Neurospora crassa OR74A: one gene and its partner. The protein of the gene in region 2 interacts with the protein of the main gene of each other region in a biochemical or structural test. Links are inferred from orthologs where the notes say so. Each region holds a gene or a part of one and is shown on either strand. Other genes may lie near its edges. The genes, in order: hH3v and NCU04238.

What was found.
Region 1: the proteins of NCU04238 (region 2) and hH3v form a complex in vitro, tested with the Schizosaccharomyces pombe proteins (2 studies listed by BioGRID, with this or other methods). The link is inferred for Neurospora crassa OR74A from reciprocal best matches to the Schizosaccharomyces pombe genes sim3 and cnp1.

Annotation. Positions count from the first base shown.
Region 1 is NC_026503.1:2,782,345-2,786,260, forward strand, and holds hH3v (histone H3), read right to left. Parts: upstream 2,362-3,916; 5' UTR 1,853-2,361; coding exon 1,732-1,852; intron 1,587-1,731; coding exon 1,462-1,586; intron 1,379-1,461; coding exon 1,157-1,378; 3' UTR 670-1,156; downstream 1-669. Other genes in the region: NCU00146 (ER-associated proteolytic system protein Der1), read left to right, coding at 3,073-3,264, 3,341-3,809, 3,867-3,916. UniProt on the Schizosaccharomyces pombe protein: Histone H3-like nucleosomal protein that is specifically found in centromeric nucleosomes. Replaces conventional H3 in the nucleosome core of centromeric chromatin that serves as an assembly site for the inner kinetochore.
Region 2 is NC_026505.1:5,315,307-5,319,045, reverse strand, and holds NCU04238 (histone H1-binding protein), read right to left. Parts: upstream 2,597-3,739; 5' UTR 2,464-2,596; coding exon 1,643-2,463; intron 1,559-1,642; coding exon 964-1,558; 3' UTR 601-963; downstream 1-600. Other genes in the region: NCU04237 (phosphopantothenoylcysteine decarboxylase), read left to right, coding at 3,538-3,653, 3,720-3,739. UniProt on the Schizosaccharomyces pombe protein: Histone H3 and H3-like CENP-A-specific chaperone. Promotes delivery and incorporation of CENP-A in centromeric chromatin, probably by escorting nascent CENP-A to CENP-A chromatin assembly factors.

The DNA of each region.
Region 1 (3,916 bases), on a different chromosome or scaffold from region 2:
CAGGTTATCAACAGCCGGCCCCCTTTTTCCTTTTCCCTTTTCCCTTTTCGATGGTATTCACAGAAGCTTCGTGTATGACCGTTGGTGTACAGAGGACGCTGTCTGTCTACCCAATCTGTGCTTAGTATGGGCAATCCATATCCTTTTTTTTTTTCCTTTTATCTTTATGATATTTTATCTTTATGATATTTTATCTTTATGATATTTTATCTTTATTCTCTTTTCCCAAGAGACGAATTCCGGATCCATATTAGTTCAGGCGCATGTCCCAATAGACTCGACAATAATGCGAAAACGTATATATACTCATTCTTGTCTCTGAAAACACAATATTTAACGCCGCTTTTCCTTGAGCGCAAAATCAATCAAATGATAATCTTCCCCACGGGATGCCATTGAACGCCGCCGCCGCCTGCCTGCCGACCCAAAGATCAAACCAGCACACCCATACACATACTTGAGATCAATGCCGAGCCGAGCCGCGCCATTTTCCGCCAACCACTGACTGGAATTGTCGCGTTTTGACCACCATTGACCGTCCCGAAAAAACACATCGAGACTTCTCCGACCTGGCATGCCAGAGAGTGGCCAGATTTCCCTTTCGCACTCATGGCCCTTCTTTCCAATCAGATTATGCGTTTGACCCCCTCCCCCCCCCCCCCCCCCCCCCTCTCTCTTTGGCCCCCACGCTAAAGCTGTTTGAGCCAGCTAAAGTCATCCAAGTGCGCGCAGATTCTTGGCTGCCGTCCGTTCATCGTTCTTTCTGCCGTCGTACTGGCGATGGGATTTTCTGTAGGCGGAGTCACGGGACATATCACAATCCCGTGTCCTCTCCCTTCCTACAACCCAACCGAGCAAGAAGACACGATCCAACGTCGCGCGCCTTCAACTTTTGGGAATACCCATACCCTGGCAATTTCATCCCTTCCACTTCCCTAACACCTCCCGTTCCCTTCTCGCTGCTCGAGATAGGATATCTGACTGACTTGGACCAAATTGACATAGCCAGACCATGCCAGGCTAAACCTTATGGTCCATTACAGTAGTAATAAGTAGTAGAAGTAGTAGTAGTAGTAGCAACAACTTTCGACTGCGCTTCCGCTTCCGCTACCGCTGCTGTTGCTGCATCAGCCGCACCGCCATGCGCTAATCACACTCATACCCACCCAGCACCTCCCCACACGCCGCGTATCCGGCGAGCCAGCTGGATGTCCTTCTGCATGATGGTGACGCGCTTGGCGTGGATGGCGCACAGGTTGGTGTCCTCGAACAGGTGGACGAGAAAGGCCTCGGCGGCCTCTTGCAGGGCCAGGATGGCTTGCGACTGCCAACGCATTTCCTCGTCCATGGGGCGGAATTGCATGGCTATTTCGCGGACCTACGGTTACAAGAAAGGGTAAGTCACGGAATCAGGTTTTTTTTTTTTGAAGAAGCGTACTATGCATAAACAACAATACGTACCAATCGCGCAAAGGGAAGCTTGGCAACCAAGAGATCTGTCGTCCTTTGGTAGTTGCGGATCTCCTTGAGCGCAAGCGTGCCGGGTCTGTAACGCCTCTTCTTGCCCTGGGGGACGGGGTCGCCGGCTGAATTTGTCAATGTTAGCTGCATGCGATCCTAACTGGGGTCGTATCCAATGGATCGATACTCTCCGCGCGTGCGCGCCTTAGGTATGTTGCGCTGAAAGCACCGCCGTAGATGGGACCAGGTGGATGGAGTGGTACGACATACGCTGAACACTGCTGGCGCGCGACTTCCTTCTTCCCGGGGGAGTGGCCTTGGGCGTCGGCACCGCCGCGGCTTTCTTAGACACCGCCTTTGACTTTGTTACTCCTCCCTTCTTTGGTGGCATTGTTGTTTATCGATGATGGTGAATGTATTGATAGGTGGTTGGTTCGCTAGTGACGCACTCGGATGGCGAAGCTTGAGGCCGTTGTTTATCGATAAGTCGTTTTTGAATGTAGCGAAGTGGAGGTAGCGGAAGCTGAAGCTAGGTGATCGCAATTGACCAAAGACCGGAGAGCTGGGTCGGTGTTGTTGTTTACGTCGGGAGCTCTAGAGTGGATGCGCCGGCGGTGCAAGGCAGCAAGGATGAGCAAAGTCGCTGTCGGGATCGAAAGGCAAGAAAGAGGACAAAGAAGATCCGAGGTTGCCCACTAAACAAAGCCGGCAATGCCAACTCACACAATTATTATCCACGGTGTCTGTACACAAGGGGAGTGGTTGGGTCTAACGTCGACTCGCTGGAATGGGGAACCTTGACGCGTAGGTCTACGCTTCTTTTTGATCGCGACTGGGCGCGCCGCTCGGTCACAGTGAATTTTGTGGGGTTCCATAATGGAGCTCGAGGAATGGGAGTCCGCTAGAGGTACCTCAGCGGGCAGGGGCACGCAGCCCGGGGTTTGGATCACTGGCAGCGGGGAAATGTGGGGTCCGGCCCAAGCAGTTCTTTGTCAACGTCCATACATTTACACTACATTCCTACCTAGGTATGCATAAATGCATAGGTAGGCACTACGGATAGTATCATATCTGGGCATGTCGTTCGCCCCTGTCAAAGTTCGACGCACAGCGCTTCCAGTGGCCACGGCACCTCAGCGCTTTCCACTGCCACACTTGCAGCTGCAGCCGCCTTTCCCCATACACTAGTTCCGCTAGCGAACCCGCCAGCCCGTGGCCCCGTCTTCCTTGCTTCCCGTCTTGAGACTACTTACTACCTCTACCTACCTAACCAGCTTGTAAACTGTGCACCTATTGGAAACCTTGTAGAGGACACGACATCATCAACACCGCGGCATCTAGTCATTCATCAACGTAACCTCCCACGCTCTTTTCCCTCGGGGTAGGCGTTATCACATAGCTAGGTCAAACGTATTCCGTCAAGAGATTGCTCCTCGTTCCAATCCGAATCCACGCATCGTCGCCGTTGAACCTGCACCAGATTGGAGACGGTACCCAATTCATACCATCCGTGTTAGCGACGCCGCTATCGCCCGGCAGACAGGACCCGCCAAGCATCCGATAACGAATCAACACCAACTGCGCAGTCGTTTGCTCTACGAACATTTCACCATGGACCAGATGATCGGTGGTGGTGGCGGCGATGCCGGCCGCTTCCCGCTCGAGACGTGGTTCTGGGAGATGCCCATCTGTACAAGGTGGTGGACGACGGCAACCATGCTCATGAGTGGCTTGGTCCAGTGCGAGCTTATAACTCCCTTCCAGCTCTTCTATAGCTACCGCGCCGTATTTGTTAAGTCACAGGTTCGTCGTGTACATGTTCATATTTCTACGAGAGAAATAGTTCGCTGACATGGCTGCTGTTGGTGTTCCTGCTCAGTACTGGCGACTACTCACCACCTTCCTCTACTTCGGGCCCTTCTCCCTCGACCTTCTCTTTCACGTCTACTTCCTGCAACGCTACTCGCGATTACTCGAAGAATCGGCAGGCCGATCACCAGCACACTTCTCATGGCTGTTACTGTACGCCATGGTGTTCCTCCTGATCCTGTCGCCGCTCGTTTCCATGCCATTTCTCGGCCATCCGCTTTCGTCGACGCTGGTTTACATATGGTCTCGCCGTAACCCAGATACCCGGTTAAGCTTCCTTGGGTTACTGGTGTTTAGCGCACCCTACTTGCCGTGGGTACTCATGGCTTTTAGCTTGACCCTTCATGGCACAATTCCCAAGGATGAGTTGATGGGCATGGTCATTGGTCATATCTGGTACTTTTTCACCGACGTGTATCCTCCTCTTCACGGCGGCTCAAGACCCCTTGACCCGCCCATGTGGTGGCGTCGTATCTTTGGTATGTAGTCTTCCTTTTGCTGCTCCGATGTACAATATGCTAACAACGATCTCAAAGAGGGCCGGCCACGCGAGGAGACCACGGATGGTATCAACAACGAGATTGCA
Region 2 (3,739 bases):
TTTTGGGAGGTTCTGACGTTGATGAAGCTATCCTCAGTTTTGAAGGTGGGTTAATTTATATTCTGCCTTCTGGCTAGGCCACGTTTGTGTTTAAAAATGTGTCTTTAAACCAACTTCTCGATTATACCTACGTACCTTCAATCATGCGAGAAATGTCTATCTATCTACCTACCTACGAGACACTCACTGGTAGGCACAAACTAGGTACATCAGATCAGGGATTTGTTTCGGTTTCCTAGTTAGCTAGCTAGCTAGAGAAGATAGTACCCCAAACAGAATGCATAGCTACCTAGGTACGGACGGCAAAAGTAAATTCTTTCGAAAAGTTCATTCTCATCCTCCCTTTCTTTCTGTCTTTATCAAGCTGGACATTTATTGACATGTGCCACGTTGATGATGGTTTCTTGTTTGATTTCCAGGTCCATTGTCTAACAATATGATGTACCCTGTGGCGGATGTACTTCGTGAACTGCGCAAGTGGAATCCACTTACATACAAGGCTTTGGTCAACAAATGGTCCATGATACCCTAAATTACGCACATGTAACTCCCCTTTGTCCTGGTGGGGAATAGGTGTTGGTGATACCTTGTATCTTGGGGGCGCGCCACAAGAACTGTTGTCTTCTGACACATGGTTTAGTTTGGAGAAAAGTGTTCGATATCGACGTTGTCGATCCCAGAAAAAATAGGCAGAGCGTTTTCCGAGTGCCATAGCGGTTCGCCTGTTATTCACCGGCGGAGGGAGAGTGAGATGACGGAGGATGAGTATGATTATTTGATGCTTCAAGAAGCGCGCGCGTTTGAAAAGAGAAGAAAGAAGTGAACATTACAAGCCTGATCCTGACTGAGTGACTGAACTCCTACATGAACTCCATTTGCCCAATTTTCCCAAAGTCCATGCAATTCCATGGCCATACAATTACTCGTACCTAGAACAACACCCTCTGACCCATCTTGACTCATTCACTCTTCCTTCACCTTCTTGGCCTCTGGAGCACCCTCCTCGGCCGGCGCAGCCTCACTCTCAGCCTTTCTCTTCTTCTTGACCAACCCCGTCAAGTCATTCGCCTTCTCCTTGACCTCCTCAGCGACCTTCAACGAACTCTCGCCCTTAGTTCCAGAGACAGGCGCAGCGATTCCCAACGCCTCATTGATATCAATAGGCGGCTTCCTCAGATCCACCAGCCTCTGCTCCATATCCGAAATCACCTCCTTCACGTCGGCAATCTGCCGGCGCGTCGCGTCGTTGTCCTCGGGGTTGTGCGTGCTGGCCAGCTCTACTTCTTTGTTCTGCAGCTTGAGCTTGGTGGAGGCGATGGCGGCTTCGAGCTCGGCGGCGGCTTCGTCGCGGAGGGCTTGGTCTACCACGCCTGCACCACCCGCGCTGGCTTTTTCTGAGGGGACGGCGGAGTCGTCGTCGGAAGACTTGGTGACGGAGGCGAATTCGAGAGCGAGGGAGAGCTTGAAGTGTGCTTCGGCAATGATTTCAGAGTCTTGGGTGTAGAGCTGTTGTTTGTATTTGAGGGAGGCGCGGGAATCGGTTATGGCTGCTGGGTATCTGTGGGAGGAGGGGGGAAAAGGGATTGTTGGTTAGTACCTGGGTTATGTTTTGAGGTGACAAGGAGGGAGACAAAATGCTTACCTCTCGTTCTCGAGCGAGATCTCGGCCAAGAGGTCATGCAGATCGCCTAAGCGCTCCTTGATGTGCTTGATCAGAGGCGACGCCTCAGTAGTGGTGGCAGCCTCGTCGCTTTCCTTCTCCTTGCCCTTGCCTTCTTCTTGGGTCTTTTGCTCGGCTTCTAGTGTCGCGAGCTTCTTCTCAAAGAGGACACGCGCAAGGTCGAGGACCTGGAACGCCACGGCGAGATCATCGTCGTCTTCGTCTTCTTCCTCGCCCTCCTCGGCATCTTCGTCGTCGTCCTCCTCCTCCTTATCCGAGTCGTCAAAGTTCTCGTCGCCCTCAAAGTGGAAGAGGGGCTTCTTCTCCGGATTGGGCTCATCCTTGTGGGCAACCTCCCTGGCCGCCTCGGCGATGGAAGCTTGCGCGCCCTTAGTCGCCTGCTCTACCGCGTCCTTGATCAAGGATGATGAACCCGCTTCTTTCTCTTCTGTGGCGGCCTTCTTTTGCTTCTTGGACTTGGCCGCCTTCTTCTCGGGTTTGGGCTCGGGCGCGCGGCCACCAAGAACGTCGCTCTTGCTCTGGCCGACCTTGAACAGGGCGCGGCCGTAGAGGAAGAGGATCTCGGCGTTGTCGGGGTTCATCTCGCCGTTCATCTCGGCCTGCATCTCGGCGGCTTGTGCGTACAGCTCAGCGGCCTCATCGTAGTTCTTTTGCGCGTACTGGGCGGCGGCGTGGGCGGACAGATCGGCGAGGGAGACCTTGAGGGATAGCGCAGCTTCCTCGGCGTTTAGCTCGACGATCGGGGTCGCGGTGCCGCTTGCGGCGGGGGTGGGTGTTGACATTGGGATGAATTGGTTTGTGTGTTTGGGATAATTGATGTTTGGTGTGTGTGACAATGTCTCGATCCTGAGATTGGGAATCTCGATTTGGTGAAATGGAAGTTGGAAGGAAGATCCAAAGCAAGAGTTACAAGAGTCACAGAGTTACAGAGAGCTTCACAGAAGTTTAGAAGCTGTGACGCGATGGAGATCAGTCCACCCACAAAGACGCGTCTGATTGGCTAATTGTGCTATAAGGTGAATGGATGCCGCTGTTCATTGGCTGTTTTCAGCACTTTTCAACCCTTGACTTACTGGAAATGTGGGGCGGGGGAGCAAACGGCAGACCAACAGCAGACGACAATCGTGATCGATGGCGAGAGCTTCCCTTTCATTATGCTCTCTGAAGCTGTTCATGAAATCTCTGAGTCATTACCAAAATTAGCTGATCCATTGACCCTAACATCTGATTCCATTGCCAAAACTGATTTTGGTTCTGGAAGCTCTCTCTGCTCCAAGGTCAGTCTTTCAAGTTGGACAGGAAGCCAGGGTTAGGGTCATGACGTAGGACCTTTTGGCAGGCACTCTTGTCCTCCCGCTCTTGCTTCCCTTCTTCGATACCTCTACCCCTCGGACCCCTCAACTCAACTCATTTCCTCCCTTCTCCAGCCTTGTTCAGCCTGGTCACTTCAAATTTTCTCCCAAGCGCCAAAAGCATCTCTCAATCTCAAGCCGTTAGGCGGGTTTCAAACGTTTTGGCTAGCGCGTTCCAGTCTGTTTTCACGATTCATCAATCTTGAGAGTTGGTCCGTCCCATTAATCCGGCCATAATATCTGGTTTTGGTGGTTTCTGGTGAGTGTCGTAATCCTATGCAGTGGCCCTCGTTCTCTGCATCTGGCCAATGTCTTTGACAAGTCAGCATGAAGATTGAGGATTATAAATCAGTATCCCATAATTTCACCTTTGCCCTTCAGGCGCCGCTGCCGTGGTTGTAGGTCACCTGTTCTAATATCAAGTGAACAGAACACTCCGTCTTGACAGCCCAATCAACACACATTCAGAATATCTCACAACCAAGGATCTTACAGATTGCCAAGATGCTTCAAGCAATTGACAACATTCATGATCGCCAGTTCTTGGCCGCAGAACTCGCTTCATCAGCCACCCTCGCTGCGGAACTTGCGCAACCGGAGATCAAGAACATCCTCCTGGCGTATGTAACACCGGTACCTCTGAAGCTCTACCGAAGCCGTACAACTGCTAACAGCAAGGAATCCAGTGCTTCCGGCTCCGTAGCCA